4 linked regions of the Arabidopsis thaliana genome follow. The protein of the gene in region 1 binds, or shares a complex with, the protein of each later gene. Each region holds a gene or a part of one and is shown in the gene's direction. Other genes may lie near its edges.

Region 1 (7,101 bases):
AGCGTGTCCGTTTGTTTTGGCATTGTTTTATCTTCATCCCAGTTTAATACGTACTTATCTTACCTAAGTCTAACCTAAATTATTTATCAAAAAGTATAACCTAATAAGTTAATATGAGATTCACTAAAATACATGAGAAATACAGTTTAAAACTCCACTTATTAAGTAAATATTCTAATCATAGATAAGATGAGCAAGTAAGCAGCACATTAACCAAAGTACCAAACCATAGAGTCACGCTATTATTATAGTTTTCTTTAGTTTGATTGGCGTAATTAACTTGTTTTTGGCGTAATTAATTAACTTGTAGGATAGTGATAGTCTGATACACGGTTCTATACAACGAATCACAGTTGTTTATTTAAATTTTAAAGCATAGAAACAACAGATATCACAGTAACAAAACAACTGTGTCGTAATATTTGTAAAAAATGGTTTGAGTTGTTATGAAAATTCAGTAATGTTCACAACGCAATCATTGTTTTAAAACTTCTGTAGCCAATTGCAAAGTTTAGACGCTTTCTTTCAATACACGTTTCTAATTATAGGCATGTCCATCATGAACCTGGACACAAACTGAGGCATAGGTTCGTAGTTCACTTGTCGTTGTGTTATGAAAGTGAAACCATCAACCTACCAAGCCCATATCATAATAATTTTGAATTGTTGATTGAAATAATTGGGCAACACACAATATTTTTCTATTTTCTCCACTTGAAATTGCTTAAAATGATCCAATCATGCTGTTACGTTTGGAAAGAATCTAGAACGGACCTGTTAGTCTTATCTTCTGTCAATCTCATTTTGTATCAAAGTTTTCAATCATATATGAGGGATTGGATCGTCTTTTTAACATTTGTTTTAAGTCACCGATCAAAGTCTTGAGTTGATAACAAAAGCAAACTAAAACGGAATAAGAAAGATATTTTGTTTGCATTGGAATAAGAAAATATATTTTGTTTGCTATTTGCATTTTATGTTATAATTTACAAAAAAATGTTTAGACAAAAGAAAAGTCTGTTTTTAGTAATGCAAAAATAATATTGTACCTAATAAAGCTGGAAACAATGAACCCTTGTATTGTACAAGTTGTATCTATCATTCACTTAGTAATATGGGTAATGGGTTCACTGGTCCATAATAAGACATAATCGACACACACGTCATACATTTAGTTCCTTCTTAGCATAAATAGTAAAAACATACAAAATGTTCTGTTTCTAGAAAATAAATAAGCTATGCTAAAAGTGCTATGAAACTATCTACCACTAACGATAGAGCTTGAAGAAACATTGGAGAAAGACGAAAAAGTATTCGAGCTCGAGGCTCTATCAGACGAAACATAACCTACAACATTCGATTTATGATCGTCTCTCGAAGAATCCGAGAATCCCCAATTTTCATCAATCTGTGGAACATTCTCTTCACCATTCAAATATCTAAGCACCATTCTCATCGATGGCCTAAATTTTGGTTTCTGATGGCAACATAGTAACCCCACAACAAGAGCTAGTTTAGCCTCTCTGCCATTGAAACTAGACCCGAGATTCTGATCCACGACGCAAAGGATTCCACCATTAGTATGAAATTCCATTACCCAATCAGCTAAGAAGAAGTTCTCTGCATTCGTTGGTTTATTCCCACACACTATTTCTAACAACAAAACGCCAAACGCGAAAACGTCAGACGCGGTTGAGCCTTTACCGTTACGTGTGAGCTCAGGCGCCATGTACCCTAAAGTGCCAACGATTTTCGTGGTCTGCGTTAACGTTCCGCGTTCATAAAGCCTCGCGAGTCCAAAATCGCCTAATTTAGCGTTCATATCTTCATCAATAAGAACATTGCTCGGTTTCACGTCTCTATGAACCACGATCTGTTCCCATTCCTCATGAAGGTACAACAGTCCCGACGCGATTCCCTTTATGATCTCGAAACGCACGTCCCACGGCAACACGATGCCGTTTCTTCTCGGCGTTTGGTACAGCAACGAGTCGAGACTTCCGTTGGGTATATAATCGTAAATTAACAAGAGCTCGTTCTTGTGTTTGCACCATCCTTGAAGATTCACGAGGTTCTTATGACCTAATCTTCCTAAACTCTCGATCTCTGCCATAAATTCTCGAACACCTTGTAAGCTATTTGAGGTTATCTTCTTCACTGCGATTGGACCCGAAGAAGATAGATTTCCTCTGTAAACGATTCCAAATCCTCCAGTACCGATAATCTCACTCTCTTTGAATTTCTTCGTTGCTAAGTAGAGATCTCTGTATCTAAACCTATGAGGATAATCAATCTCCCAATCCTCTAGAGTATCTTCTTCTTGGATTCGCCTTTTGTACATCACAAATATAAATAGTAACACAAGCAAGACCAGTGTGACGATCGATAAAGCAACAATCAAAACAATGACTTGAGAATTGTAACCTTTCTTGTTACTCAAGCGAGGTGGAGGAGGAAGCCGCGAGATCTCGAGCCAATCCGCCATTGGATTTTCTCCGCAGCTTGAAAAACTCCAACCCATTACATAGTGAGCACTCGACTGGTCTTTTCCAGTCGCGGCGGTGAATCCGACGTACATTTCATCCTTCACAATCTCCGACAGCTCTGAAACTCGTCGCGAGATTAGAGGCTTCTTGGGTTTAAACTCTAATCTCGTCGGATAGATTGTAACGTTTAAGGTTTCGCTGGATCCGTCGTAATCGATAAGAACTCGGATTGGTTCGCCGCTCTCGAGCTGAAAATCTTCCTTTCGATCCTCTGTGTCGTAGTAAATGAGTGGTTCTTGTACATTGGAGGAGAGGTTGTTGAAATTAAGACCGATGTGGTTTCCTCTTCTGTCTGCGCCGTCTTTAAATCCTTGTACCGTGTCGAATTCCACTGCGAATACGTGATTCGATGGATTACCGTTGTTGGTTCTGTTCAACAGACCCAAATACTGTGCAGATTCGGCTCCTGGACGATTCGGGGTCGGAGAAAGTGTGAACGTGAAACCAAAACCACCGTTGCCGGGACTTGAAGGGAGTATGACGAAGACGAAAGAAGTGCTAAAGGAACAAACTTTGATATCGGAGGAATTGGTTAACTCACGCAATCTGATTGGTTTGCGGTAAAACGCTGTTCCAGTGACGTTTTGTTTCCGATTAGTTAGTCTAAGAAGATCATTGTCGTGTTGGATTGTGGAAGCTCCTTCTGTTTGAATATCCGTTTGGTTTTCTTTGAAACCTATGAATGTGAATTTCGCTGTCGTGGCCTCAGCAAGAACAGAGCTTTTAGAAGCGTTTGATAATATCATTAGAAAGAAGAAGAACATGAACGAGTTTATGGATCTTGCTATGCCCATTGAGTAGTGGTATCTTGAGCTTTTTGACTTTGATTGTATGAAGTAACTAGTAAGAGAGAGCATTGAGTTTAAGTTTCAAATATGGACATGTTCTTATGCTATCAACGACGAAAGAGTCGAAATGTTCAAAGTCAAGGTCTTTTTGGGCTATATGTGTGGAGGAGATGACTCTCATGATTTCACGTAATTGCATAATTAATACTTGACAATATCTTCGACCAAAAGAAAACAAAATAGTGGACAAAATGATGAAGACCGCTATGATTTAGCCTAAACATGAGTCTTATTGGTCATAAATTTTGTTAGCCCATTATGGAAAGTGAAAACTAATGGGCTTGGCCCATATTAGCGTCCATATATTTTTAGCAGTTAATTATGTCAAATTAAACTTACTTTTGGAATAAAAAAATCAAAAATCAAAATTCAGATCTTTCCTCTTCATATCTCCCTCCTCTCTCCAGATTCCAGAATATCACGTACTTACTTGGTGGTATCAGAAATCTACGATTTTTCTGGTGAGGGTTTTGAGGTGTGGAGCTAGGGCTTTTGCTGCTAGATAGTTGATTTTTCAATTTTCCGCAGCAGAAATGGGAAATGCGTCGGAGAATTTCGATATTGAAGATCTCATGTCTTATGGAGACGATTTGATCAACTTATTGAATGTTAAGAATGGTTTTGATATTATATCTCAAAGTTCTGAGCAGTTCAAAGCTCTCAATTTTGCTTGCCATGAGGATTTCAATCAGATACAAGGCTCTATTGAAGGTCAGTTTTGTTTTTCCGATTTGGTTCTCTAGATAATTTACTAGATAAATAATGTGGCTTTAGCTGGATTGAGCGAGGAATTTTTTTGGTTTGGACGCAGATTGTAAGACGAAACTCTATGCTTGTAAGAAGAAAACTGAGGAAGCATATTCAGATATTGCGGCTGAAGATGAAATTGAACGTCTTCAGAAAGAGCTTGACGAAGAGATGGAACGGGAGTTCAAGCTAAAAGACGAGCTTAGATAAGTATTGTTTGTTTTTGAGTGAAAATATCCTAGTTGTTGATTCAGTGACATGAAAAAATTAATCTTTTGGTTTTTTAATTGTCAATACACTAGTCGCTGATGAACTCAAGGACCTGAATGCTCAATTGTCATCGATAGATGAACATAAGCAATCTACAAAGAGAAAAGTGAGGGACGACTTGAGAGCTGAGTAAGATCCACAAACCTCACTACTGCAGTTGCTTGTTATGAATGCTCGTTACATTTGTTTTCTCATTGTTCCCTCTTTTTATCTACAGGAAAAAGCTATCAATGTATGCTTCTGTCACGAACGTTATACCGGACATTGATGATCCATCAAAGATCTCAGGCTGTATCCTGTTCTTTCATCATCACTCTATTCTATCAACGTTTTCTTAATCATATATATTGTTCACTTTTTATCCTTAGGTGTTTTGAATCCTTGATTTTGAAAATCATATTAGATATGGTAGATCGTGAAAAGAGGCTAATTGAGAAGTTTCAATTCGAGACAAATAAGATGACGGCATACGAGACATGTAACAGTATCTGGAGCATCATAAACAAACAATAAACATACTTGGCACCACTTCATTTGTATGATATATGTGTGAGCAGTCTTGGTTTTAGCTTAGCAACCAAAAACCTCTTTATCTACCATCAGTTCCGTTGATGTAAACACTTTCTACTTTACTTAACTTTGGATTTTTGTTATATGATTTTGAATTTTCTTCTCCTGTAACATCATCATCAATCTAAGATTTTTCCCCCTGCAAGTTTCCGTGTTCATGTTGCAGCTGCTCCTGCCGTTTTCCTGATCGTTTTTTGCTGTGCAGATTGATGCACAAGTTCAGATTTAGGTTGTACAAATTCTAAAGGAACAGAAGTGCAGTTTTTTAGTTTCTATGCTTTCATTATATTCTTAAACGCCTTTCATAAGGATTTAATGATTTTGAATCCAAATCTTGGTGGCCTAGCAAACTTTGGGATTATTACCTAGCTTCTCTTCTGAACTGTGGAACCTGCTTAGTGTCTCCACTGAACCATTGAACTTGTTAGGGTTTGCCATTTTTCTGTCTTATATTGGGGTAGATTTTACAGGCCAGAGAACTCGATCCAATTTAGCGAGAGTGTACACAGTACACACTATGAAGTTATAATTTTGTTGTCCCTGTCTCTTGAAAACAGTCACAGTCTCACAGAGATACAAATCCTCATAGCCAGAGTCTTTGGATTATTGATGAATATTGTCACCGCCTGCCTCACGAAGATGGTCAGTTCCCCTTTTCAAATTTCATGCAAGTTTGGTAACTGTTTTTCCGGAAGTATTTAGAGAAATGATCAACAGATGGTATTTATGAAGTCTTTACAGGAATTTCATGTCGGATCTTCACTGGTACATGAGGCTTAGTAGTTTGTAGTTTATGAACCTTCTATAATAGATCAGTCACAAAGAAAGAGAATCTTTACGAAAAGATCATGAACTTTTCATAGCTTCTGTGCTTAGGAATTGTCAATCTTGTAGAAACAAAGTAACATGTCATTACATTTTAGGTAAGAATCGAAGTACATGTCATCAGATAGTATCTGTGACTTGTCTCTATAATATTGGCTTTAATAGTGATCTCGTACGTGTATCTCAGTTTCAGATATGATCTTCACATCTTCGAATCTCTGAGGAAGCAAAGACCACATACGATTCTAGCACCTTAATGGACTCTTAACAAAACGGGTACCTTCTGCAACTTCTGGTTTCACTAATGGCTTATTGGCTTTAGATAGATTTGGGTTCTTAGTTCTTCTTTAGGGACCACATTGGAAAATTAGATATCTATTGATTAAGAGGGAAGGAACAGTGAGAAACAAAAATCATTGTGGAAACTGTGAAACAAGATTATGAAACCTGATACTCCATGAACTTCTCTGTGTGCTCTCTTTCGTCGTTGCTTGATTCTTTGACATATCTGCAATTATAAAGGCAATTAGGATTAGTGAGAAGATATATAACTTTCTGTTTCTTAGAATGATTATGAAATTTTAACGATAAATACTTGGCTAAACCCTTAAGAGTTATGTCTTCTCTGTCGAAATACGCATACATGGCATGGTACACGTACGAGACATTGTCTCAACCACTGCACAACCAACCTGTTACAAAATAGAAGGTGAATTAGGTAGGTGGCAATATTTGGAGGTAACATTAACAAAATACCAATGGTGTGACTTAGTGCCATCGAATTAGTGAAACATGAGTATTTTTTAGTTACAAAATACAAAAATCTTACTAACTTCAACTATCTTTTTCTTTGCTAACTATGATAACTTGTATGTAGAAGTGTTGTTTTTTATTTTGTCTTGATAGCTAATAAGTTGGATGATGCTTACTTGATTTGCTCGTTAACAGCTGCCTCACAAGCTTGTGCGTATCTTTGGTGAGCGACGGAGACAAGAGCGGTGATTGGTAGGGCTAGATAAGCTCTCTTTACCTCCTCGAACGGCTCGAATATGACTCCGCTCATCGAGCCAGCTGTTTCTGCTGCCACCACCAGTGATCTCCTTGCCAGTTTCCTCTGTTGTGGGAATCTCAGTGAACCAGCAGGAGAAGTGGTGCCATGATGGGTTTAGTGGTAAATGAAGAAATTCCCTTGAAGCTATGTCTTTGATCAGCATGCGATGTGGATGATGAACTGATGAAGAAGAAAGGGTTTTGTAATATAGGAGGGAATCGAGTGTAGTGGCCGTTGGATTAGA
Region 2 (7,597 bases), about 15 Mb from region 1:
ATAGGTTTTACGACTATAAATAAAGAGTCTTTCACTCTATTTTCTTAACACATAAAAACCAAAATTTAAAAGAAGAAGAGATGGCGATGATGAAGGTAATGTTGATGGTGGTGATGATGATGGTCTTGGTTGGAACCATAATAGTAATAGGTGAAGAGTCACATGCGGATTGTTTGAAACGGTGTCAGCAACTGTGCGTTGATAAGCCTTTGGATAAGAATTGCGTCCGCCAATGCGTCTTTTTTAATTGCGGTCCTCCTGCTCTTCCTACCAATGTTCATCATTCTAAGTATAGTATTCTTTTTTCTTCTATACCTTTGGTTTATCGTCTTATCGATAATAAAATTTAATTATGTATATGCTAAAACTGACATGGTTTTTCATTTTTTTGTGATTTCTAGCAGGATGAAGGCTCCACAAAATCATGGAATTAGAGGATAGATTATTATTGATTTTTAGACCAAAAACATATAGCTTTTAAAGATTAAAATGATATAGAGTTTTTGTTCGTAAGTCATAAAACACTTGGATGTTTAGATGTGTTCTTGGCATGTTTGTTTCTACAGATTTTTTTTTAATACATGAATTCACAGTTCAGTTCGGCGGATTTTCAGTTTGAGTTTATAAACAAAATTAAATTGATCAGATGAAAATATACCATATCAAATGTCAAGTTACTAAATGGTGCAAAATCCAAAGATACAGTATTAGTGGTGGGTCTATTTGTGACCTCTTAAAAAAAAAATAACTCACTTCATTAATCCATTTTAATCACACAAATGAAAGATTTACTTATAGTCCACTAACTCACTCAGACGTACAAAAATTAACCACCATCTCTTAAATAAGTCATATTTATATCATCCGTTTTATTTTCAAAATTTCAAACAATCTCAAATGACACACAAAAAATTACTATACAATTGCGTGTATTATTCAAACATTTGACCAATTTGATATTTAAAATTAAACAGAACATTCAAACTGGTCAAATGCTTGAATGTTTGAACAATGCATTCAAATGTGATGTTTAAAATCACGGCTAATAGGAACTAAAATCCAGATTTAGATCGGTTTGTTGTCCAAAACCTCGAATTGTCGAGGCGGCCCATTAAAAACTAGTGCACTCGAATTTTCTTCAGGTATTTTCACTTTGACGCGCACACACACTTTACATCACCACATCAGCATGTAATCAATTAAAACCCACATCCATCAATCATCATTACCTAAAATTTGCTAAATTAAACTTCAACTGTTTCTCCATTTTGTTTGCCGCCAGGCTACGCTATTGAACTTCAATTGTCCAGTTAGATTTGTTTCTCTTCTAGCATAATCTCATGCATGTACATTTATATATGTGTACTCTGGCAACTGACTTTTTTTCTTCTTTCTAACCTTCAATATAAATATTATATGAAACTTGAAAGTAATTATATATATCAAAAGAAATCTAATTAGAACCATTATAAGTAATAAAGAAAAATGTTGACAAAAACAAACTTGCAAAAGTAATAAAGAAAATTTTAATATTTTTAATTATAGTCTAGTCAAACTTTAAATTAATGATTTTAACTTTTCTGGACATTAGTTTTATATATACTACACACACACCTATGACAAAAAAGACATGTATACGTAAACATACACTTACAGGGAAAAAATTAAAGGAAAGAAACTAAAAAAAAATGGAGATGAAGAAATGTAGTATGATCATGATGATAATGATGATGGTGGTGATGGCATCCATACGAGGAGGAGAAGCAATTATAATAAGAACAACATGCAAGCAAATGTGCATCGACCAATGTGGTGGCCGCATCACTGTCCCTGAGACCCCTTGTCTCCGTAAATGTCTTCACGAAAAATGTGGCTTTCCAGCTCCTCCGTAATAATTCGTAACCTCGTATATATTTACGTATATTGATCAAGTATACCTTTTAATTTGTGTTGACTAATAATTTATATTTATCGCGACATTGCAGGATGGAGGCTGTAGGAATGGAAAACCTCATAGGATAGATCCTCATATCCTCAGTTTACTTTTCATAAGTTATTGTTGTGGAAGGAAAGAATTACAATAATTAAGAGTAATGAACAAAAACTCAGTTTACTTTTCATAAGAAATTTTGATGTGTACAATGATTTTTTCCTATGATCATAAAGATTTCCGAGGCCAAAATTAGGGTCAACATTCATTCATATTGGATTTGAACCTTATTTTGATCCTTATAAAGACTTTCTTCGATCGATTTACTTCATCCATATTTTATGGCCCTTTCTCCTTCGACAACAACGCATTAATTCTCAGGACGGGTGCGTTGCAATGTAAAAAGTTCTTTCGAAATATTTCATCCGATTAGTTTTCCTCAAAAGTATTAGTTTCAATTAAATTAAAGATAATAGCCTAATTATAAGATAATAGCTTAATTATAAAGCCAGCCAGATTACTTCAAGTTGAAGTAATCAAGCAAACTATCTAACACTGATAATTCGTTTAAGCTCCGATGCTATATATCTAGCACATGGTTAATGCTATAACAAGTTAACACCCTCTGCATGGTCCAATATCTATAAAAATTCTAAACAGAACAAATTAATGTACAAACACAGAACAAAATAATGTACAAAACACATTTTTGTCCCTTTTGCTTACTTACACAGTAAACTCATTGTCTTATCTACTCATTACAGGTTTTATTGAATTAATTATCAAAAACATACGCACCCATTTCTACTGATATATAGTGAAAATACTCTAATTTATTATTTTAAAAAAAAAAACACTTTGCAGGTCTAAAGTGAGCTAGGGACGTGAAAAAACTGAAAATACATATTGAAACTAGACGAAGGAATTGTTATGTTCAATATGTATTTAGTGTTAATTAAAAGACTAGTTGCTTGAAGGAAGAGAAGACATGCAATGATGCAATGCAGAAAACGTAGTTAATGCATTAAAAGAGTCTTTGACTCTCTAAAGTGTAACCGTAGTATTCGGTTTTGTCAGCTCCTTCGGCTAACTAATTAAAATCCTAACGGTTCAATTTTCAACCTTTCACACACTATTCAATATTACTATTTTCCGAAAAATTGGTATGATAAAAATAATATTATTGTAACTATATTGTAAGTAAGGGTTTTGATTTAGAGCGATTAAAAATGTTATAAATCAAAATAGTGATTGATGCCAAACGCGTATTAAATCAAACGTTTGCCGATGACTGAACTACTTTCGGTAAACGAGAAACCAGACAAATGGGCCTGTCTCAGAATAGCCTTTTAAGGAGCCCAATAAATTTGGACGTAGCACGATATGAAAACGCCATCGTTTTAAAGTTCTCATCACGATGGTTCGCGTTTTGAAGCATATTTTCGAAACTCGAATCAAAATTCAAATGGCGGGCTAAACTTCGATTCAGTCTCTCTCTTTCTCTCTTTGGTGATGGAACAAATTAGCAACATCGCTGGTGGAGACACAACGAAAGAGACTATGGCGTCTCTGGGTCTCATCTGTGAGAAAGATATTCATGAACAGCGTCTTAAAATCGATTCTTTCATCGCTTCTCCTTTCCGGAGATCGATGAACTCTTTAGTGGAGCGAGCTCAAGCCACTGCTCAAAGCCAAGGTAAAATTCAAAATTCGCATAGTACCACTCAGTTCCGTATGACCCAGATCGTAAATTTCACACTTTTTTACGGTTTAGGCTCTGTCTCTCTGAAATTAGGGTTTTAAAATTTCGACATCAGACTGGTAAAATTGAGCGGTTCTGTGAAATGTTTCTTTGATTTTACAGTGGAACTAATGAATTTGAAAGCGGATCTGAGAGAAGCAGAGGATGAGCTAGTTAAAGTGTTGGCAGGTATTATTACCTCAAAAGCTTGAAACTTTGAACTTAGTTTCTTAAATCATAAGATTCTCCTTGGTGTTATTTTCATGCTTACATACATTGTTTTGCTGAGTTTGGATATCTTACTGTCTTTGGGATGTTATATGTTTGATGTTTAGTGAAAACCCGTAAAGAGGCACGGCAAATGGGGATAAGAGATTCCATTTCTGCAACACAATCTAGGATTGAAGTACTTAGAAGAAATTTGCAGCTACAGAAGTCAAAGAAGGATGATTCTGTGAGAATTATCTCCCAACAGTTGCAAGGTATCGTTATATAATTCTGAAGTTCATTATACATACAAGTTTCATGAGTCAGCTACATGCTTTGGGATTTTGTAAAGTGAAGATATCTATAAAAAGTACTCTGCTTGTTTCAATAAGAGATCACATGAATCACTGAAGACCAAGCTAACATATTTCTTCCAATAAAGCCTTGTCAAAATCGAAGGACAACGCTGGTAAAGTCACCGAAGACAAAGCAGATATTCATGAAGCAATCTCTTGGTATAATCATGCTCTCGGTTTTCACGTTGAAGCTGGACATGGTAATAGAGACATTTTGAGTTTGTAACAATCTTAGTTCTATATTACTAAACCTTAGCCCTAAAAGAGCTTTGTTGTTTTAACTTCTCTTACAGGAGTTAAATTCACATTCACCAACATTGATGCAAAAAGGCCGACCCGCGAATTTTCGTTCACAGTTCACTATGGAAATGACATCTACACACGTGAGTATATATATGTCTTCTTGAAGCAAGCATCAACTACATTATAATGTTTACAAAAAAACCTAGTAATATGAACTGTTTACAGTCGTTTACTTATATGATCATCAGTATTGGATAGCGATCTGCAATTGGATTACATCAACGAGATGGTTCAAGAATTGAATAAAACCAATGACCTTTTCAGATTTGTTCGTCTGATGAGGGAGCAGTTTCTGAAATCCACTTTATCTGGTAAATTGTCTCAAGCCTATCCTTTTATAACCTCTATCTCCATAAGTGAGAAATCTTATTTTCGATATATATAAAAGTTGAATATGACCAAGACTTGTGTTTTATTGGATTTTGTCAGAGCTGCCAACACATTCAGGACAACTGCAACAGGAAACGTCTGCCATATCTGCTTCAGCTCCAGCTATATCATTTTCCACTGATACAAACATGTCAACTCCAGAAAACAAAAGATCTAAGGTTCAAGTGAATCGGCGACAAAAAAGAGGTAGCGAATCACCACTCCTAGCTCCTGTATCCACATCTGCCACTCGCCGTTCTTCTCGCTTTAAGGTACTGGATACTCATTGTGTTCTTAAATGTTACAACACCAAACCAAATTCAAAATATTTGTTAGATACTATAGTTTCCAAAAGTAGGATACCAGAACCTATTTGCATAACAACTGGACATAATAATGTTCTATCTGATTAATAATACTTAACTGATCACATGGAGCCTATAGTATTTAACATACAACTTATATAGCAACTCTAACTTGTTACAGGGTAAGAAATGAAGGTGGAGCTCTGTTTTCCTTTTCACAAGCATCAAGGAATAAACTTAAGCGTAGATGATGCTGCGGAACTTTCGACAACAACAGATTGTTGTTTGAAATTCCTATAAATATTAGAATGTCATTGTAATCACGCTTATTGACAATGTTGATTTCTTTACTAGTGTGGATGCTATGCTTATACACCAATCGATGATGGAGCTTGTGGGACTAGATTTTAATCGATGTAATCTCGCGCTTCTCTATTTCTAGATTTCGTTAGCTAATGGATGCTTGTCTAGCTTCATTAAGATTGCGCATTAGAGATAATGATGGATACTTGAGCCATAGATTGTGCATTAGAGATGTACAGTTTATGCAATTTTAAAACTAAAAATATAGCCACAACCATATTTTCTATCTTAAATTAGACAAGAAAACAAATCAAACACCATTCTCCAACTCGTTGTTCCTCTTGAAACGACTCTTCACCTCGCTCATGAAGGCGAAGAAGGGATTTGGTGTAGCCAACGCGGGAGAACGAACATGGAAAAGTATAAGTGATAAAGGTCTTCCAACATGTTACAATCCCCAGCAAAACTCAGAGTTTGATAATCTTTGCAACATTCCAAGCTGTTGTGAAGCCCGAACTTGTCTTTACGCAAATTAGTAGACCCCAAACATGAATGCATCTTGCACCACATGTACATTGTATTAGCATCAAAAGGGTTTATTGCCAGCGGAATGTAATCAAAACCAGTCTCACTACAAGCTAGAGATATTTCAGATACTATTTCCCATTCCCGGCTCTTTAGCCTCCATACACGTAACTTATGCTCTACATGTGCATCATCTTTGTCTTGGGAGAAGATGTTCATGTACATGATATATCCTTGAGATGTTGTGCAAACTCATTTTAAATTTGGTGGTTTCGTTCCACCGTCAGGGAAAGGTGTAACTTGGCATCGATCAGATTCCGTGCCAGTCGCGTAGAAATCATGGAACACAACAACCTCTCCATAGTCGTTGTTGTAGCCTATCCAGTAAAGGTTTCCATACAAGCTAACAGGGTTGTAATCTATCAGACCAGACAAAGTGAGATGAGATTGGAGGGTTTTGAAACTCCATAACCCTGTCTCGGATGAATATATCAGTAAACTTATGACATCGTCCAAGTTACTTGTATCCATCAAAACAACTTTGTAACCTAAAACGACGTGATCCTCAAGTTTTGTGACAAGCCCAGAGGTTAAAAAATAACCAACTGTTGGAGGAGGCTGAGGGATTTCGACACATTGTCTTGAGATCGGATTAGCCACATAGTAAGTTAGTAATTTGTTGCCAGAGCTGATCAAAATCAATCCAACATGAGTGTAAGCCACGGCGAGTGTAACGTTTGGGAATTGAGTATTGAATTTGTGGGTTATGAAAGAAGAGATGTAAGAACTTAGAGATCGTGGAAGACCCCAAGTTTCGCATTCGTAGTGAGCCACGACTACTTCAGGTAGGACTCTGCAGAGGATTGACCATGAAGAATGAGAGTTTTGATGGTGGGTGTTGAAAAGTTTGCGGAAAAACGGAGATTCTACGAGCGATTTCCATTGCTTGCAAACTAGTTTTGAAGTGGTGATGATTGTTAGTGGTAATCTCGCAAGTATAATTGCCCATAGATCATCTGTTAAGAAAATCAAATCATCTCCTTCTTCTTCTTATTCTCTGTCTCCATCCCAATTGAGTTTTGAGTACACGACTTTACTCTGTTCAATTAAAGTTATCAATGTATATTTTAATGATTTTTTTTTTCTTTGTAATATTAACAATATTGTTGAATCAATACAATTAAACTAAAATCCATGTCTCTCCAAACCTGACACCTAAGCAAAACTTGGAGAAGAAAATTATACTTTTACATTCGAATTGGTTTGTTAGTTTTAATTTTTATTAGTTATGAGTTTTGAGGAAGATTTCTAGGTTTTTGTTTTGGCTCTCTTACTGTGAAATTGAGATGGATTTTGAGATAAGCCATGATGTGTTTCAAACTTGAAGTTACTTTGAATATTGGTGCAGAGAAGAGTAATGAGTTGTACGTAGAAGAGTCTAGAAGTCTCTAATTCAGCGCATTGTTTGCTCTTCTCCTTCACGCTTCTTCTCGCATTGAAGCTTGATCATGTTGTTTCTCAGTCATGGTGGTTAGTTTTTTCTTCTTAAGTTGTGGCC
Region 3 (8,948 bases), on another chromosome or scaffold:
CCCTCCACCACCGTTTCTGGGTCTCTTGTTCCTCTTCTCAGAAAAATCATTATCCGAAAAAGTGGATCTTGAAGAATAATTCCAGACACAAGATGATTCTTGAGTTGAGAAATCAACTGGCTCGAGTTCTGGAGATGAAGAAGACGGAAAAATATGTTCCGCCCGCGAGACGTCGTCGTTTAACATCCCCGGCTTGCGACGGCCGTAAGTTCGCTCCATCATCGCCGAGAAAGCTTCGAATTTTCTCTTCGTTCGCAGATTTGAGTGACAAAATAAGACAAGGGTATTTTCGGTATATAATATGACTTTCTATATAAATATAATATTTTCAATTGCTATGTATTGACCGCATAGCGCAGTGGATTAGCGCGTCTGACTTCGGATCAGAAGGTCGTGGGTTCGACTCCCACTGTGGTCGTTTTTTTTTTTTTAAAGGCTTTTAGGGTTTGAAGATATACACTAACTGAAATTGCTGTACTCAGTTCTTTGAGTTTCTTCTTCTCTTGGAGGAAAATCGAGAAAGACGAAACATGGCTTCTTCTTCTACTTCTCTGAAAAGAAGAGAGCAACCAATTTCGCGAGATGGAGATCAACTTATCGTTACTCCGTTAGGAGCCGGAAGTGAAGTGGGTCGTTCCTGTGTTTACATGTCCTTCCGAGGCAAAAATATTCTGGTCAGCTTCTCCGTTTTGTTCTAATCAAGCAAATGTGTTTTGATTTTGTTGTTGGGGCATGTCTTATAGTTGATTTTGGTTGTGTTGTGCAGTTTGATTGTGGGATTCATCCTGCGTACTCGGGCATGGCTGCGTTGCCTTACTTCGATGAGATTGATCCTTCTTCCATTGATGTCCTCTTGATTACTCAGTATGTTTCCTTCTTCTTCCTCTTTTGGCTAATACCCATTAAGAAAAATTGAAACTTTGAAGAGAAAATGATAGTCTTGATTTGAATAGAATGATAATTTGAGCAAAATCTTCGAAGTTTAAGTTTGTTTATACAAAAACAGAAGGATGATGTGTAGTAGAGAGACCTTCTTGGATTAATTAGTTCAAGCTTGTAGGAGGCTAGAGTTTGTTCTGTCTCTGTTTGTCTACTTGAAAGAGTTTGTGTTTTGTGTAAGAGGTTTATTGGGTTAAGATAACATATAATGTGTTGATGCTTTTGGTTGCAGCTTTCATATAGATCATGCAGCATCTCTACCTTATTTTCTGGAGAAGGTTTGTTTCTCTTTTCAAAATGATTTTGTTTTTTGGGATGTGTTAAAACATAGCTGAGAACTAATTCAGGTTATTGATGTTTTGATCAGACGACATTCAATGGGCGGGTTTTCATGACACATGCAACAAAGGCCATCTACAAGCTGTTGCTTACAGATTATGTAAAAGTGAGCAAAGTGTCTGTGGAAGATATGTTGTTCGATGAACAAGACATCAACAAGTCTATGGACAAAATTGAGGTTAGTACTGCATTATATTCTATGACTATGTTTATACTTTGACTGCTCCACTAGGTTTGGGATAAGTTCAAAAGAAATTAAATCTGCTTCAAAACTGTGATTGTTGAGTTAAGGTTTATATTTGATTTCCTCTATAGGTAATTGACTTCCATCAAACAGTTGAAGTGAATGGCATAAAGTTCTGGTGTTACACGGCAGGCCATGTTTTGGGTGCAGCCATGTTTATGGTGGATATAGCTGGTGTCCGAATCCTCTATACAGGCGACTATTCCCGTGAGGAAGACCGACATCTGAGAGCAGCTGAGCTTCCTCAATTCTCCCCTGACATATGCATCATTGAATCCACTTCTGGTGTCCAGCTTCATCAATCTCGTCATATTCGTGAGAAACGCTTCACTGATGTAATCCATTCAACGGTTGCTCAGGGTGGACGTGTGCTGATCCCGGCTTTTGCACTGGGCCGTGCTCAGGAACTTCTCTTGATTCTTGATGAATACTGGGCGAACCACCCAGATCTACACAATATCCCAATCTACTATGCATCACCACTCGCCAAAAAGTGTATGGCGGTTTACCAAACCTACATATTATCTATGAACGACAGAATCCGCAACCAGTTTGCAAATTCTAATCCGTTTGTGTTCAAGCACATTTCTCCATTAAACAGCATCGATGATTTTAATGATGTCGGTCCATCTGTGGTAATGGCTACTCCTGGAGGTCTTCAAAGCGGTCTCTCAAGGCAACTCTTTGACAGCTGGTGTTCAGATAAGAAGAATGCTTGTATCATACCAGGTTATATGGTGGAAGGTACACTGGCCAAGACGATAATTAATGAACCAAAGGAGGTGACTCTTATGAATGGTCTTACTGCTCCGCTCAACATGCAAGTGCACTATATATCGTTCTCTGCTCATGCAGATTACGCGCAGACGAGCACGTTCTTGAAAGAGCTCATGCCTCCTAACATCATCCTTGTTCACGGTGAAGCTAACGAGATGATGAGGCTCAAACAGAAGCTCTTAACAGAGTTTCCTGATGGAAACACAAAGATCATGACCCCGAAGAACTGTGAGTCAGTGGAAATGTATTTTAATTCTGAGAAATTGGCGAAAACCATTGGGAGATTGGCGGAAAAGACACCTGATGTTGGCGATACAGTAAGCGGGATTCTGGTGAAGAAAGGGTTCACTTATCAGATAATGGCACCTGACGAACTCCATGTTTTCTCACAGCTATCAACAGCAACTGTAACTCAGCGAATTACAATCCCGTTTGTAGGAGCTTTTGGTGTGATAAAACATCGCCTGGAGAAGATTTTCGAGAGCGTGGAATTTTCAACAGATGAGGAATCGGGGCTTCCAGCACTGAAAGTTCATGAAAGAGTAACGGTGAAACAAGAGTCAGAGAAGCACATCTCACTTCAGTGGTCATCAGATCCAATAAGTGACATGGTTTCAGACTCCATTGTAGCTCTGATTCTCAACATCAGCCGAGAAGTCCCCAAGATCGTTATGGAAGAAGAAGATGCTGTGAAATCCGAGGAAGAGAACGGGAAGAAAGTTGAGAAAGTGATATACGCACTTCTTGTTTCGCTTTTCGGGGATGTGAAACTAGGAGAAAACGGGAAACTGGTGATTAGGGTCGATGGCAATGTCGCTCAGCTGGATAAAGAGAGTGGAGAGGTAGAGAGTGAGCATTCAGGTCTTAAGGAAAGAGTGAGAGTAGCTTTTGAGCGGATTCAGAGCGCTGTGAAACCAATCCCTCTCTCAGCTTCTTAGTAGCTTTTTAAAGTCATCGTTGAGGTATCTTAAATCATCATAGAGTTTTATCCATCTGATGATGTTTCTGTTCCCATGTTTAGTAATAGTGAATGATCAAGTCTAATGGATGTTATTTAAGAAGGTGTTTATTGAGAAACTTTGCTACTACCCTACTGTGATAATGATCAAGTCTTATGGATGTTATCAACTATGAGTTTTTAACTTTTTTAGGTTTTTTCATAAATCATTTTGCTGATTCGTGCTTTTCCCATATGCATTTTTCTATCATTATGCTGATCTAGGATATGGAAGCAAAAGCTTTGTGGTGCATCAAGTTAAGAGGTTTCTAAAGTTAAAAAAGTACTAGGCTTCTTCCAGATTCTTTGTAAGACATATTAGTGAGCCTTGCTTTTGATATTTGCAGTTTCATGAATACACGGTGTCGTTTGATGCGTTTCTACCAAGCCTCTAAAGTACAAGGCAGGTCTGATTGAGCTAAAGTAAGGTAGAAGAGAGATTGTAATGAGCACATTTTCTATTATTTTTCCACGTACAAAGTATACATTATTCACATCAGTGAATGTCTCTTGACCTCTATGTTTTGGCAAGATGTCTAGTGCATCAAGATATTAAGACCAAATCTCTACAATATTAAAATGCTTAATTTTTTTTTTTGTAGATTAAAGTTTCTTTTTTAATTTTATTTATAAAAGCTTCTACGTTCTACCGTATCCAAATATGCATCAATATCTGCAGAGACTGCAGTTTCATATAGGCGGGAAAAGCAAATGCAAAAAACAAATCGAACCTGACCCAACTAAAATCAAAGGCTCTCTTTTTTTTTTTTCATTTCTTTCCAAATTGTCATTTTCAGTTTCTTCGAATCCAGACACAACAAATCCGAACCTGACCAAAACTGAAAACTATGTCAGCCTACGAGTACCCGAGGCTCTCTCGTTCCGACATTATCACGGCGCTCAAGGATGCTCAAATCGCTAGCGTTACAGAGACCGATCTCAAAACCCCAACTTCCGACTTTGTCTCCGAGCTTTACACCAGAATTCTTATCTATCTCGACGCCCTCGACGAGTATGTACTCCTCAAAACCCTAGTTCCTCTCTTAGCTCTTCACTCAATTTTACCCTCGATTTTGAAACTCTTCGTCTAGTTTCGAGCTAGGTCATCGAATTCTGTCAGAAATTATGTTAAATATTGAATCTTTGGGATTTTCTATTTTTGATTGTATGAACTGCTAAGTAATTTTGAAAACCCTATTTTTTGTTTCAATTTGGGGGAATTTCTGATGATGCTTCTTTTTTGAATTGCGTTTTTCGACATTGTAGAGAAGAGAAAGGGCAAGTTGATTTTGAGGCTTTGGAGCAATTGGAGAATCCAGATCATCATGCCACTTCAATGCAAGCTATGAAGCTTTATTGCAAAGTGAAAGATATGTTAGAAATGCTTGATTGTCCATTACCAATTAGTTTCAAGGATCTCTTACGCCCTGAATCATCCCGAACCGAGTTTTTCATCAGCGCACTTTTGAACTATGGTCTATACAAGTATGTCCTTCATGCTCTTAGTTCTTCTCTGTAGTATCTATTTCGATGCACCAAGAAGTTAAAATAGAGAGTTCTTATTTGTCCCACTTGATCTTCTTTAATCTTTTTTTCGTACCAGAGACTCGAAAATGGATCTTATAAGACCAAAGGCAGAAGAGTTGGGTCTCCTTGATGAGCAGCGAAAGCAGTGTGAGGCAAAGGTTGCTCAGGTAATGCAAGAAAAATATGTATCCCATAGATAAGTCATTTATCTTTTTCTAAAAGCTGTACATGCAGTTGAATGCAGAGATTGGAGAATTTGATGAAGCCGTTGAGAGGGACTTACCTTTTGTCCAAGAGCTAGAAGCGAACATTGAACAACTGAATAAAAAAATATTGGAACTAAATAATCAGCAGATGTCACTGCGAGCTACCTTCCAGAAAATGAGAGAGAAGAGTACACAGATGGATAACGAGGTACGTAACCGCAGGATATGGTGTCGAGCTCCTTCCTCAAACTAAATTGGGTTATTTGTAATTTATTATGAAGTTGGTGAAGAAACAAATTTTGTTTGTCAATTAGGTGATTTGCATATGCTTGAACTTGAGAGGCGTTTTCTGCTCCTGACATGTGTATTTCTCTCTACAGATTTCCAAAGCAGAGTTTGATCTTGTGGAAACTGTCCAAGAAAATGCAAACCTCCGCTCACAAATTGTTCAATCACCGGACAAATTGCAGGTATATTTTTATTCCAACTAGTACTAGTCCTAAGATAAACTTTTGGTATACACTAGTATAAACGTTTGTTGTGGAGACAGGGAGCTTTAGAAGAGAAGAAACTAGTACTTGGGGAAACAAAGAAAGCTGAACAATCAGCAATGGTAACTTTCCAGGAAAAGGCTGCCATTCTTGAGGTTTTTGAAAAGGTATCTAATGAAAACTCTAGATTGTTACTAAATCCTGTCGCTTAGCAAGTAGCTAAATGCATTTACGACATTTGCAACTTAATGGTCACTGCGGATACTGCTCTCAAACCAGTTTTTAGAGAAGGATATTTCAAGTCATTATTCTTCTAAGTTTGGTGTGTTTATTGCTCTATCACTTTTGTTCATACTTCATGAAATTCTGTCCAGAAGCTTTAGGAAGAACTTCTTTTATTTTGTTGTATAGTGGATGAGAATGATCCCAAGATGGAAAATATTAGATTGAGACCTTATTCTGTGTTGTTACTTCAAAATTTTCTTATGTTTTGTCTTGCAACAGTTTTATGCTTTATTTTTGAGTCGAATAAGTTTTGCTTTAATATTGAGGTAATAAAGTTTATTCAACTATGGTTGCCTTTTGCAGGCCTTGAAGAAAATTTTAAAGTCATCTTCGCAACTGCAGTTAATAAACGAACAGGTGACCAAGCAAAAAAACTCCTTTCCTCTTTCATTGCTTATAGATTGTGAACCATGTATTGTATCTCTAGCATGTGGCAACACACAGATCCTTCCAATTATTGGAATGAGATCTAATGTGTCTTTAGATTTATCTTTCATTTTTATGTATATTTGATGATGTTACAGGTAACCAATGCGAAAACGGTTGAGAAAGAATTCAAAGCTCTTAAAGATAAGCTGAGTGAGGATGGGGTAGCATACAAATCACTTGAGGCGAAAGTGGTTGAGCGGGAAAGAATAGGCAAGTGTTGGTTTATTTCTTCCTTCTTCAGATATTGTTTCTGAATTTTGTTTTGGGACGGAGACTGTAATCATCTCTTCTGTCAACAGTGGAACAGTTGAACGAATCATTGAAACAACTAGAGAAAGAAAAAGCAGTCATGTTTGATGATTGGACGAAACAGTTGAATGAATTAAAAGTGGAGGTTGAATCCAGAAGACGTGAACTTGAAACCAGGCAAACGAATGTTGAATCAGTAGTAGCTATGGTATTGCTTCCTTTCTATCGAACATCTAACAACGTGAATCTGTTGTGCACGATGCTTTATCATCTCCGTAAGTTTTATTTGTTTATATATCAACAGGTTGATGACAATACTGCGAAGACTAACCAGGTGAGACAGTCAGGAGAAGCTAAAGTTAAAAAACTAGCCGCTAAATATGAAGAGATCGTGAAGCAGGTTTATTTCGTTTCCATTATTTTTATCTGCTAATATATTGAACCATGGAAACAAAAGCTTTGTGGTGCATCAAGTTAAAGAGGTTTCCAAAGTTAAAAAGCTACTAGGGTTCTTCCAGATTCTCTGTAAGACATATTAGTGAGCCTTGCTTTTGATATTTGCAGTTTCATGAATACACGGTGTCGTTTGATGCGTTTCTACCAAGCCTCTAAAGGACAAGGAAGGTCTGATTCATCTAAATTAAGGTAGACGAGAGATTGTAATGAGCACATTTTCTCTGCAAATGGTTAAGAATTTGACTACTAAATTCCTCTTGTGATTGTATTAAAGTTGGAAAATGTTATGAATTTCTCTTCATGGAAATGGCATGTATTGAAGTAGTTTATAAAAGAATGTTAACAGAAAAAAAATGAAGAGAAAATGAGAGCTTTATGGTTGTGTTGAAGGAATCGAACTCTTGTCCTGGAAGCAAAAGAATCCTATCGCTTTCCCAATTGCGCCACTCTCACTAGGGATTTTTGAAGAAAAATAAAAACAATTTAACAGCAAACAAAGTGTAAAATTTGCTTCGCGGTGCTTTTCTTTTCAATCATCTTCACTCTTCAATTTCTGTGGATTCGACAATCTCCCAGAACGAGAAGAAATCTACGATCCTCGCAACGGAGCAATTCAAATTCGATGACTACGTAGTGTTAACGAAGAAGACGAAAAAGTGCATCGGAGATCCGAAATATGGATCCGGAGCAGACGTTTATTAGGGTTCAGGAGAGGTTTTCGCAGATCTTAACGCCAAGGATTAGAGGTTTCTTAGAGTATACTTACCTCTTCGTTGCCATCACTTTGTTCTGTATCCTCGTTGTTATGCACGCCAATTATGTTCAGCAGGTAATTTTTGACTCTCGTATTGAATCCTTTAATTTATAGGTCGTTTTTAGTGCAAATTGCCTTTGTTAATGACTTCATTGTTGAAATTTTAAGTCTGAGATACTACAATTTGAAAAGGATGATGTAGCATTTTTCTGTGTTAGGAGTAATCTGATATGAATTGTGGAGCTTAAGCTAATTCTGTAGAACATGTTCGCATGAGCGTGGTTAGGAGACTACTGTTTGTATCTTTACTAAGGTTGCACTGGTCATAATTATATAAATCCGACGGAAGATACTTTTCTGATTTCTTTGTGTTTATGTTTATGTAAACATTAGTACACTTTCCAATAGGAATTACGGCCTATGCAAATGCATTTGAATACTTCTAAGATTGCAAACTTCAAAAATCAAATATCTGTTGGCTTAGCTCTCTTCTACTTTAAGAGTTTCGTGTAGTGTGCATGCCTTCCTAAGATTTATCTTTGCTAGACTCTCCTAAGCTTCTCTTATCTGACCATTATTGTTTCTCTCTAACTAATTTCGTTAATTTTTTTGATTATTATTAAAGCCTGGTTGTTCAAGTGAGCTGACTGGAGTTGAGTTAGCTGAAGCAGAGCTTATGCAAATCAAGGTATGTAGCTATTATCGCTTCTGATGCTAGCATGCATAATTAGTGAAAAATTTTAGATTTTCTAGGCTTTGAACTGGTTCCTCACTCGTACTTTGGAAAACTCTTTCTTGAAATCAGTTAGCCACAAATAAAATTTCTATTCATCCTTAGTTCTCTAACCAACTGATTTTCTGTGATATAGATAACAAGTGCAGGGTTGTGGTCACGTAATGATGAAAGTACTGCTGCAGATGTTCCTCGAGTTGTTGCTGCAACTGATAGTTTAGAAGTGTCAAAGACTGATCAAGGTGTTTTTTTATTGGTTTGGATAGACTGTTTGTAGGAGCTCAATATCTTTGACGTTTGCAGGTACTGACACTGCCTCTTTTGCAATCATGCAGAAAGCTCTACCAGTGAAGAAAATACCGATGATACATTTGTGAAAATTGATAAGGAAGAGCCCCGCAGTAGTTTCTCAGTGTCTGCAAAAGAGAATGTCAGAGCAGCTATTCTTCGCTTTCTTAAAAAGTGTTACAGGCGCATATCTTTCGTTTTACAGCATACAGCACGGATCCTCAGAGGTGTTAG
Region 4 (7,287 bases), about 18 Mb from region 1:
AGGTTTCTGAAAACTTCTCGGCTGGTGAGAACCATATGCCACGGAAACGCTTGGCTGATGCATCTAAAAGGATTCAAGCTTTACCTTCATTATACCAAGAAGTGAGTTTTAGTTTTAGTTTTTTGAGAGAGAATTAAGAAAGCAAGAAAGATATGTATCTGAAAGTTTTTTCATATTTTGCAGACAAGGGAAGATGGTATTTATGCAGGGAAGAGAAGGAAGTTGGAGAAAGAAATGTGTACCATTATACATTAATAATCCTTTTATTGGACTCGTCACAATTTTCGTCTACCATATTTATATTTACTGTACTGTGTACATCAGATTATGTTGGATCACGTTCTCTTCTGTTGTTTCACTTATCAACTTTACATGTTTATCATTGTTCTCCAATTGCTTCGAATAAATTGTATGATAACATTCTGTATTTGTTTAAATTATATACTACTAGAGTACTAGGGGTATTTTCTTTGATTTCAGACTTTTGTTTATGATTTGTTACTTGTTTCACATAAGAATAATTGGTCAAATTTATTTGGTCTCTCTTTCTCGCAAATCATATACAATATACAACTCTAATCTTCTCCACCAAACTCTAATCTTGTTCATCTTTTTTTATTCAAATAGTTTAGAAAGTTCAAATATACTAATCTTTATCAAAGAATAATCTTTAGTCAAATTTTAATAATGAAATCAAATATCTTACAAAATGGAAAAACAAAAATATGGGTGTTTGATTTTTACAAAACAAAGATGGAAGAGCAAGTCAGAAGTCAAAATAGCTCGAAGATGTAAGTGACGGCGCCTGAATACTCTTGGCTGGTAGATTTCACCTACCTCATTTTTTTCATATATCTCAAACGTGGAATCGCTGTTACTCAGTTTTTATATATAAAAATAAACACTCGCTCTTCTTCAACCAAACTCATTTCCAAAATTCCACAAAGTTTTTCAAATGGCGATTGCTTTCAAATCCGGCGTCTTCTTCCTCCAATCCCCAAAATCTCAAATTGGATTCCGCCATTCTTCTCCTCCTGATTCATCGCTTTCTTTCAAGAGATTCACTCCCATGGCTTCTCTCTCCACCTCTTCTCCTACTCTCGGTCTCGCTGATACTTTCACACAGCTCAAAAAACAAGGCAAAGTACGTTAATTCTCCGTCTTTCATATTCCAATCCGTTCCTCAAGAATTGGACTTTTAAAACTTATCGTTAGTTCTGGTGGGAAATTTGGATTTGAAAGAATCACAAAACCATGTGTTGTTATTGCTTATGAATTCTTCTTATCAGATTGAGTTAGCATTGAGTTTGATTAGGTTTGCAATCTTGGTCTTACTGATACGATTGGATTTTGTAATTTACAGTTCATTTGCAATTTGTTTAACTTTTATGTGTGAAGGTAGCATTCATACCATATATCACAGCTGGTGATCCGGATCTCTCTACTACTGCTGAAGCATTGAAAGTTCTTGATGCTTGTGGTTCTGACATAATCGAATTGGGTGTTCCTTACTCTGACCCTTTAGCTGATGGACCTGTTATTCAGGTTTAAACCAACTATCAAAATGCAACCTTTATATATGCTTCCCTTGCCTTTTTTTTGTTTGATCATCTTGCTCTTTGTTATCTATTCAACTAGGCTGCGGCAACAAGGTCGTTGGAGAGGGGAACAAACCTCGATAGCATCCTTGAGATGTTGGATAAGGTGAGTTTAGTTTCTGAAGGAAAGATGTGTGTTTGTGTCCCCTGTCAGATATCGTTCCTATATGTGTGTTCTTATTGTTGGACTTGGTGCAGGTTGTTCCACAAATATCTTGTCCGATTTCGTTGTTCACGTATTACAACCCGATTCTTAAACGTGGGTTGGGGAAGTTCATGTCCAGCATCAGAGCTGTTGGTGTACAGGGACTTGTGGTTCCCGATGTTCCTCTTGAGGAAACTGAGATGCTGAGAAAAGAAGCCCTCAACAACGACATTGAGCTGGTAAGCATATAATCTGAAGGACGCATATATCTTGGTAGCATGATTCTCAGTCATGCCAGTGCAGTATAGATTCATTTGTGTATCTTATTTATTTTCTTCGTCTCCTCGAATTTGGTTTTTCTTAGCTGAACCTACGTATCATTTGTCTCTGTGGAGATTTATTTGCCAGCCTTATCAATAGAAACAGTAGAAGCATTGTTTAGTGTAGACACTGAGACTACAGTACTATACATGTGTTTTGCTGGATCTGCCTCGATCTATTTTGACATTCGGCTTTCAGTATCTTTGCCTTTTAGTAAACATAATTTTGCTCAATGTTTGTAATCAAGGTCCTACTCACTACACCAACCACACCAACAGAGCGAATGAAGCTAATTGTTGATGCGTCAGAAGGATTTATTTACCTTGTAAGATCCCTCTCAGTGTATATTTCTCTTTGCAGATGTCACATGTGTTTACTTAATTTGAGAATGTATTGGCCCTTTTTTTGGGTTTAACAGGTGAGCTCAATTGGAGTGACTGGTGCACGATCATCTGTAAGCGGAAAGGTTCAGTCGCTCTTGAAGGATATCAAAGAGGTCTAATAACAGTTTTTTTTTTAAAGATTGTTTCTCAAATATCTTGAAATGATGTAGAAATGCTCAAGTTGTTTAGTCATTTGTAATTCAATGCAGGCGACAGACAAGCCGGTGGCAGTCGGTTTTGGAATATCAAAGCCGGAGCATGTGAAACAGGTCCTAAACCTTACAAAGCTTCTCTTATGTTGTCTTCATAGTTACTTCTTTGCTGACTAGTTTTGTTGTGTCAACAGATAGCTGGATGGGGAGCTGATGGAGTGATCGTAGGCAGTGCAATGGTAAAGCTATTGGGTGATGCAAAGTCGCCAACTGAAGGACTTAAGGAGCTTGAGAAACTAACCAAGTCTCTTAAATCTGCTCTTCTTTGAAACACAAACATTTGCAGACAACATCTTTAGATTGTGTTTTTGATTATTATCGGTGTGTGACAATGATGTCTCAATCTTTTGATACATTTCAAGTATGATTAATAAGTTACTGTGACTCAAGCCACACAACCAGTTGCTCGGTTTACACAGAATAATAAAAACGTTATGACTCAAATTGTTTTCCAATTTGGTTCGATAAATTTGCGACCCGGTTTGATATTATGGTTCGATTAAACCAGAACAAAACAACCCTATATATAATTTCTTTTGAAATGAATGAGAAATAAAAAAACAAAGAAATTCGAAGAGGTTTTTTTAGGTTTTCGAAAATTCAAATTACAAAAGTAATCCATCCCGCTGCTCTATAGAAATATATTTCCCGATCCAGTTCCAGTGTCAGTTGCTTTATCTGTAAAAAGCAAAAAAGAGATGAGAGGCGGAGCCGCGGGAAAGAGAAGAACGACGGTGGGTTTCGGCGGAGCGCCGCCGCCACCTCCACCATCAATCGAGCAACAACGTCACCTCTTTAACTCAAGAGACTCCGACGCCAGTTTCGCCAGCAGCCGTCCTTCATCAATCGGTTTAGGCGGCCGAGGAGCCTCCGATGACAGATCTTCGATGATTCGATTCATTAACGCCTTCCTCTCCACACATAACTTCCCGATCTCTATCCGCGGTAATCCTGTTCCTTCTGTCAAAGACATCTCCGAAACCCTAAAATTCTTGCTCTCAGCTTTAGATTACCCTTGCGATTCCATCAAATGGGACGAGGATCTCGTCTTCTTTCTCAAATCGCAGAAATGTCCTTTTAAGATCACCAAATCTAGCCTCAAAGCTCCAAATACGCCTCACAATTGGCCTACTGTTCTCGCCGTTGTTCACTGGTTAGCTGAGCTTGCTCGTTTCCATCAACATCTAGTATCTAATTCCACCTCCGTACCCGAAGATAACTCCATGAATTTCTTCGCGATTCAAAGCTTTGGTCACTTCATTCGCGGCGAGGATGATAAGGTTAACGATTTAGATTCTCAATTTTTGGGTAAATTGGAAGCGGAGAAGACTAGCGTCGCTGAAACTATCTCTGGTTGTGAGAAAATCTCCGGTGAATTGGAGGCTAAACTTGAGTCACTGAGGAAAGGTCCTTCGAAGAAAGAGTCTCTGGAGAAAGTTAAAGCCGATTTGGAGAATGACGTAAACAAGTTCCGAACTATTGTTGTGGAGTATACTGATAGGAATCCAGCGATGGAGAAAGTTGTGGAGGAGAAAGCTAAGGAGCTCAAAGCTAAGGAAGAAGAGAGAGAGCGAATCTCTGTAGAGAATAAGGAGTTGAAGAAGAGTGTGGAGCTTCAGAACTTTAGCGCGGCGGATGTAAATAGGATGAGAAGAGAGTTACAAGCTGTGGAAAGAGATGTTGCGGATGCTGAGGTTGCTAGAGATGGTTGGGATCAGAAAGCTTGGGAACTCAATTCACAGATTAGGAATCAGTTTCATCAGATTCAGACACTTGCCATTGACTGCAACCAAGCTCTCAGGAGATTGAAGCTTGATATTCAGTTCGCTGTTAACGAGAGAGGGGAAACACCTGCAGCGGTGATGGGTGTGGATTATAAATCGGTGGTGAAGCCAGCTCTGTGTTCGTTGTGCGATGGGATCAAAGGAAGCTCGGCGGAGAAAGTGGAGGAATTGGTCACTTTACAGCACCATAAGTCTGAAATGGCTTCGAAGATCGAATCCAAAAGGAGTCTTCTTGGGTCAATTCAGTTGCAGATCAATGACCTCGAAGAAAAGATGAAGTTGGTGAAGAAGGAAACTCAGGAGTTGAGTACAAAATGTGATTTGGAGGCGAAAACATTGGTTGAGAGTGTGAAAGCTGAGGCTTTGAATCTGGAGGTTGTGGAGAAAGAAGCTGCTGAGTTTGTAAAAGCTTCGGAGCTTAGATTGCAAGAAGCAGTGAAGGAGAGTGAAGAGGAGGTCCAAGCATGTGCTGCACAACTCTTTGCACTTATCGATTCGATATCGAAACAGAAAGAGTACATGGATTCGAAGATATCGGAGATCAAAACCGGTGTTGCTGATACTGCCAGTGCTGTTTCAGAGATATACAAAGCCAACTTCAAGAAGAACCTTGGTATCTAGTGGTTGGAATCAACTGAGCCAAGAGATTGTTAAAAGCGTGAGTAATTCCTATTGCTTTTGTTCACATAGTCGTATTAGCATCTATGTGTGGTATGTATGAGTTTTCAGGATGGATAATTGAAATTGCTCAGCTATGCTAGTAGTATATAAATATCTGTGTTTCTTTTTTCATTGAAACTTAGATGATAGGCACATAATCTAATATTCACAATGTTTAACTCAAAGAACGCTGTTATGATCAAGTTACATAGGATTTCCAATGAATACACTCTTACCTTCTTTTTACCATAAGCTGACTTAGGTGACTTTGATTCTTATTCGGTTTATCCCCTCGGGTCTCTTGAAGTCAGGCTATGTTTGCAGCTCCTCGGTTGTAACCTCTTTGGGTTACCACTTTCTTCAGTCTCACTGAGTTCCTCCTTTACTTGTTTAAAGCTTGCTTACTCATGCATCATATGTGGTGAGAATATCTTACTGATGATATGAATAAGAGAGAGTAGCTATCAAATCAAGAAAATGAGAGGAAGGAGTTAAAAAAGACAAAGGAAACCTAAGCTGCTTATCTATAAAGCCAACACATTATTCTTACCCTTTTGCCCACAAAGTAAATGACACACATCAACTAAAGTAGAAATTTAAAATGCCTTTGAATGCCTTAATTTGCATTTTTATTAAATTATTAACAGAAAAAAGATATGTTGGTTAGTACTAATCCAATACAATACAGAAACGTGTCAAGTATCCTAATCAATAATGGCGGCTCCACGTAAGACAAAAACAAATTAAGGAAAGAGCGAGAGAGAGAGAGAGAGAGAAAAAAGAAGAAGAAGAATTTGAGGCGATTGGGTAAGCGATGCACATCGTCTTCTCTGTCGATGATTTGACCGAATCCTTCTGGCCTGTTCCCGCTCCGGCGCCGTCGCCGGGATCGTCATCGACTCCGTCACCGACGCAGAACGTGGCGGATGGGATGACTCGAAGTCAATCGGAGTGGGCGTTCCACAGGCTTATCAATGAGTTGTCTGGTTCCGATTCGAGCCCTACGACTAACACAATCGAGAGATCACCTCCACCGGTTCAGTCTCTTTCGAGATTAGAAGAAACCGTTGACGAAACCGAAGATGTTGTTGAGATTCAGAAACCGCAGAATCATCGACGGCTCCCTGTTGATGATCAAGGGAAGAATCGGAATCGTGCTCCGTCGTCTGATCCGGTTGATTCTTCAGCTCCTGTTGTTGTTGATCCTAATCAGTATCATGCGATTCTTAAGAGCAAGCTCGAGCTTGCTTGCGCTGCTGTTGCTCGTCGTGTACGTCTCTTAGATCCATTTCTTATGTGTATTCAGATTAAAGGAATTGATGATTTCAACAATAAGGAATGTTTGGTTGTGTGTTGATTTGATATGATTTTCTTCAGGTGGGAACTGTGAAACCGGAAGATTCGAGTGCTTCAGCTAGCAATCAAAAACAAGCTCAAGGTCACGTATCGTTGCTTTGTTTTGGTTTTGGTTTTTTGACTCTCTCTAGCTTTGTCTCTCGTCAATGTCAATGTTTAGATTACATAGAGAGCAAACATTTCATCGAGATTTGTTTGTCAATTTGATTAGACAATTAATTAACTGCTAATCTCTCTCAGTAAACTCAAGACTTTAAGGGAATTTGAAGATAAGTAGGCTTTGTTTTGGAGATGACAGCTTTCTCTGTGTTCATTCATATTTAATTCTGTTCTAGTCGAGTCAATTTTTTCTCTGAGAAGAAAGAAACAAGGCATACGTAGTATTATGCGTTTAGATGAGAATTCTTAGCCTTTTGACTCTCCATTCTTATTAGTGTAAGTTAGTGCATTATACTAGATAGCTTTCTTATTTCCCGCTTCTTGTGATATGTACCTGGATGAAATGTTTTTCAGTTAGTGGATAATGGGATTATTTTGAAATTATCTAGGCTCCATTGTGGCACAAACCTCACCTGGTGCTTCATCTGTTAGATTTTCTCCCACAACAAGCACGCAAAAGAAACCTGATGTTCCAGCCAGACAAACTAGTATTTCATCACGAGATGATTCTGATGACGATGATCTTGATGGAGACGCAGATAATGGAGATCCTACTGATGTGAAGCGTGCTAGGAGGTACAAATCTTGATTTTTGTACCTTAGAATGTTTCTGGTAATCGTTCTGAATCTCGAGGCTGATAGATATAGACATGCTTTTGGGAAAAGGCT

The links.
Region 2: AT3G08880 (region 1) and AT3G48210 share a complex: the UniProt entries of both Arabidopsis thaliana proteins name them as parts of the NDC80 complex.
Region 3: AT3G08880 (region 1) and AT1G61000 share a complex: the UniProt entries of both Arabidopsis thaliana proteins name them as parts of the NDC80 complex.
Region 4: AT3G08880 (region 1) and AT3G54630 share a complex: the UniProt entries of both Arabidopsis thaliana proteins name them as parts of the NDC80 complex.

What each region holds. Positions count from the first base shown.
Region 1 is NC_003074.8:2,699,242-2,706,342, forward strand, and holds AT3G08880 (plectin-like protein), read left to right. Parts: upstream 1-3,731; 5' UTR 3,732-3,927; coding exon 3,928-4,105; intron 4,106-4,205; coding exon 4,206-4,347; intron 4,348-4,438; coding exon 4,439-4,540; intron 4,541-4,628; coding exon 4,629-4,702; intron 4,703-4,814; coding exon 4,815-4,924; 3' UTR 4,925-5,573; downstream 5,574-7,101. Other genes in the region: AT3G08870 (Concanavalin A-like lectin protein kinase family protein), read right to left, coding at 1,259-3,403. UniProt on the Arabidopsis thaliana protein: Acts as a component of the essential kinetochore-associated NDC80 complex, which is required for chromosome segregation and spindle checkpoint activity to ensure proper cell division. Required for the maintenance of plant architecture.
Region 2 is NC_003074.8:17,845,993-17,853,589, forward strand, and holds AT3G48210 (kinetochore protein), read left to right. Parts: upstream 1-3,358; 5' UTR 3,359-3,442; coding exon 3,443-3,626; intron 3,627-3,794; coding exon 3,795-3,860; intron 3,861-4,006; coding exon 4,007-4,153; intron 4,154-4,320; coding exon 4,321-4,434; intron 4,435-4,527; coding exon 4,528-4,617; intron 4,618-4,725; coding exon 4,726-4,848; intron 4,849-4,966; coding exon 4,967-5,178; intron 5,179-5,392; coding exon 5,393-5,404; 3' UTR 5,405-5,793; downstream 5,794-7,597. Other genes in the region: AT3G48208 (Plant thionin family protein), read left to right, coding at 81-289, 402-441; AT3G48209 (Plant thionin family protein), read left to right, coding at 1,689-1,892; AT3G48220 (F-box protein), read right to left, coding at 6,292-6,892, 7,522-7,565. UniProt on the Arabidopsis thaliana protein: Acts as a component of the essential kinetochore-associated NDC80 complex, which is required for chromosome segregation and spindle checkpoint activity to ensure proper cell division.
Region 3 is NC_003070.9:22,469,243-22,478,190, reverse strand, and holds AT1G61000 (kinetochore protein), read left to right. Parts: upstream 1-4,003; 5' UTR 4,004-4,144; coding exon 4,145-4,308; intron 4,309-4,562; coding exon 4,563-4,781; intron 4,782-4,899; coding exon 4,900-4,990; intron 4,991-5,057; coding exon 5,058-5,237; intron 5,238-5,409; coding exon 5,410-5,499; intron 5,500-5,579; coding exon 5,580-5,687; intron 5,688-6,108; coding exon 6,109-6,162; intron 6,163-6,329; coding exon 6,330-6,444; intron 6,445-6,533; coding exon 6,534-6,691; intron 6,692-6,787; coding exon 6,788-6,883; intron 6,884-7,047; coding exon 7,048-7,095; 3' UTR 7,096-7,363; downstream 7,364-8,948. Other genes in the region: AT1G61030 (WAPL (Wings apart-like protein regulation of heterochromatin) protein), read right to left, coding at 1-222; CPSF73-I (cleavage and polyadenylation specificity factor 73-I), read left to right, coding at 531-674, 767-864, 1,172-1,217, 1,307-1,456, 1,594-3,237; AT1G60995 (S3 self-incompatibility locus-linked pollen protein), read left to right, coding at 7,616-7,768, 8,319-8,381, 8,563-8,668, 8,762-8,948. UniProt on the Arabidopsis thaliana protein: Acts as a component of the essential kinetochore-associated NDC80 complex, which is required for chromosome segregation and spindle checkpoint activity to ensure proper cell division.
Region 4 is NC_003074.8:20,218,972-20,226,258, reverse strand, and holds AT3G54630 (kinetochore protein), read left to right. Parts: upstream 1-3,230; 5' UTR 3,231-3,357; coding exon 3,358-5,064; 3' UTR 5,065-5,162; downstream 5,163-7,287. Other genes in the region: FBL17 (RNI-like superfamily protein), read left to right, coding at 3-101, 184-255; TSA1 (tryptophan synthase alpha chain), read left to right, coding at 956-1,144, 1,399-1,545, 1,639-1,704, 1,797-1,982, 2,312-2,389, 2,483-2,560, 2,657-2,716, 2,794-2,928; BZIP25 (basic leucine zipper 25), read left to right, coding at 5,918-6,373, 6,481-6,541, 7,008-7,194. UniProt on the Arabidopsis thaliana protein: Acts as a component of the essential kinetochore-associated NDC80 complex, which is required for chromosome segregation and spindle checkpoint activity to ensure proper cell division.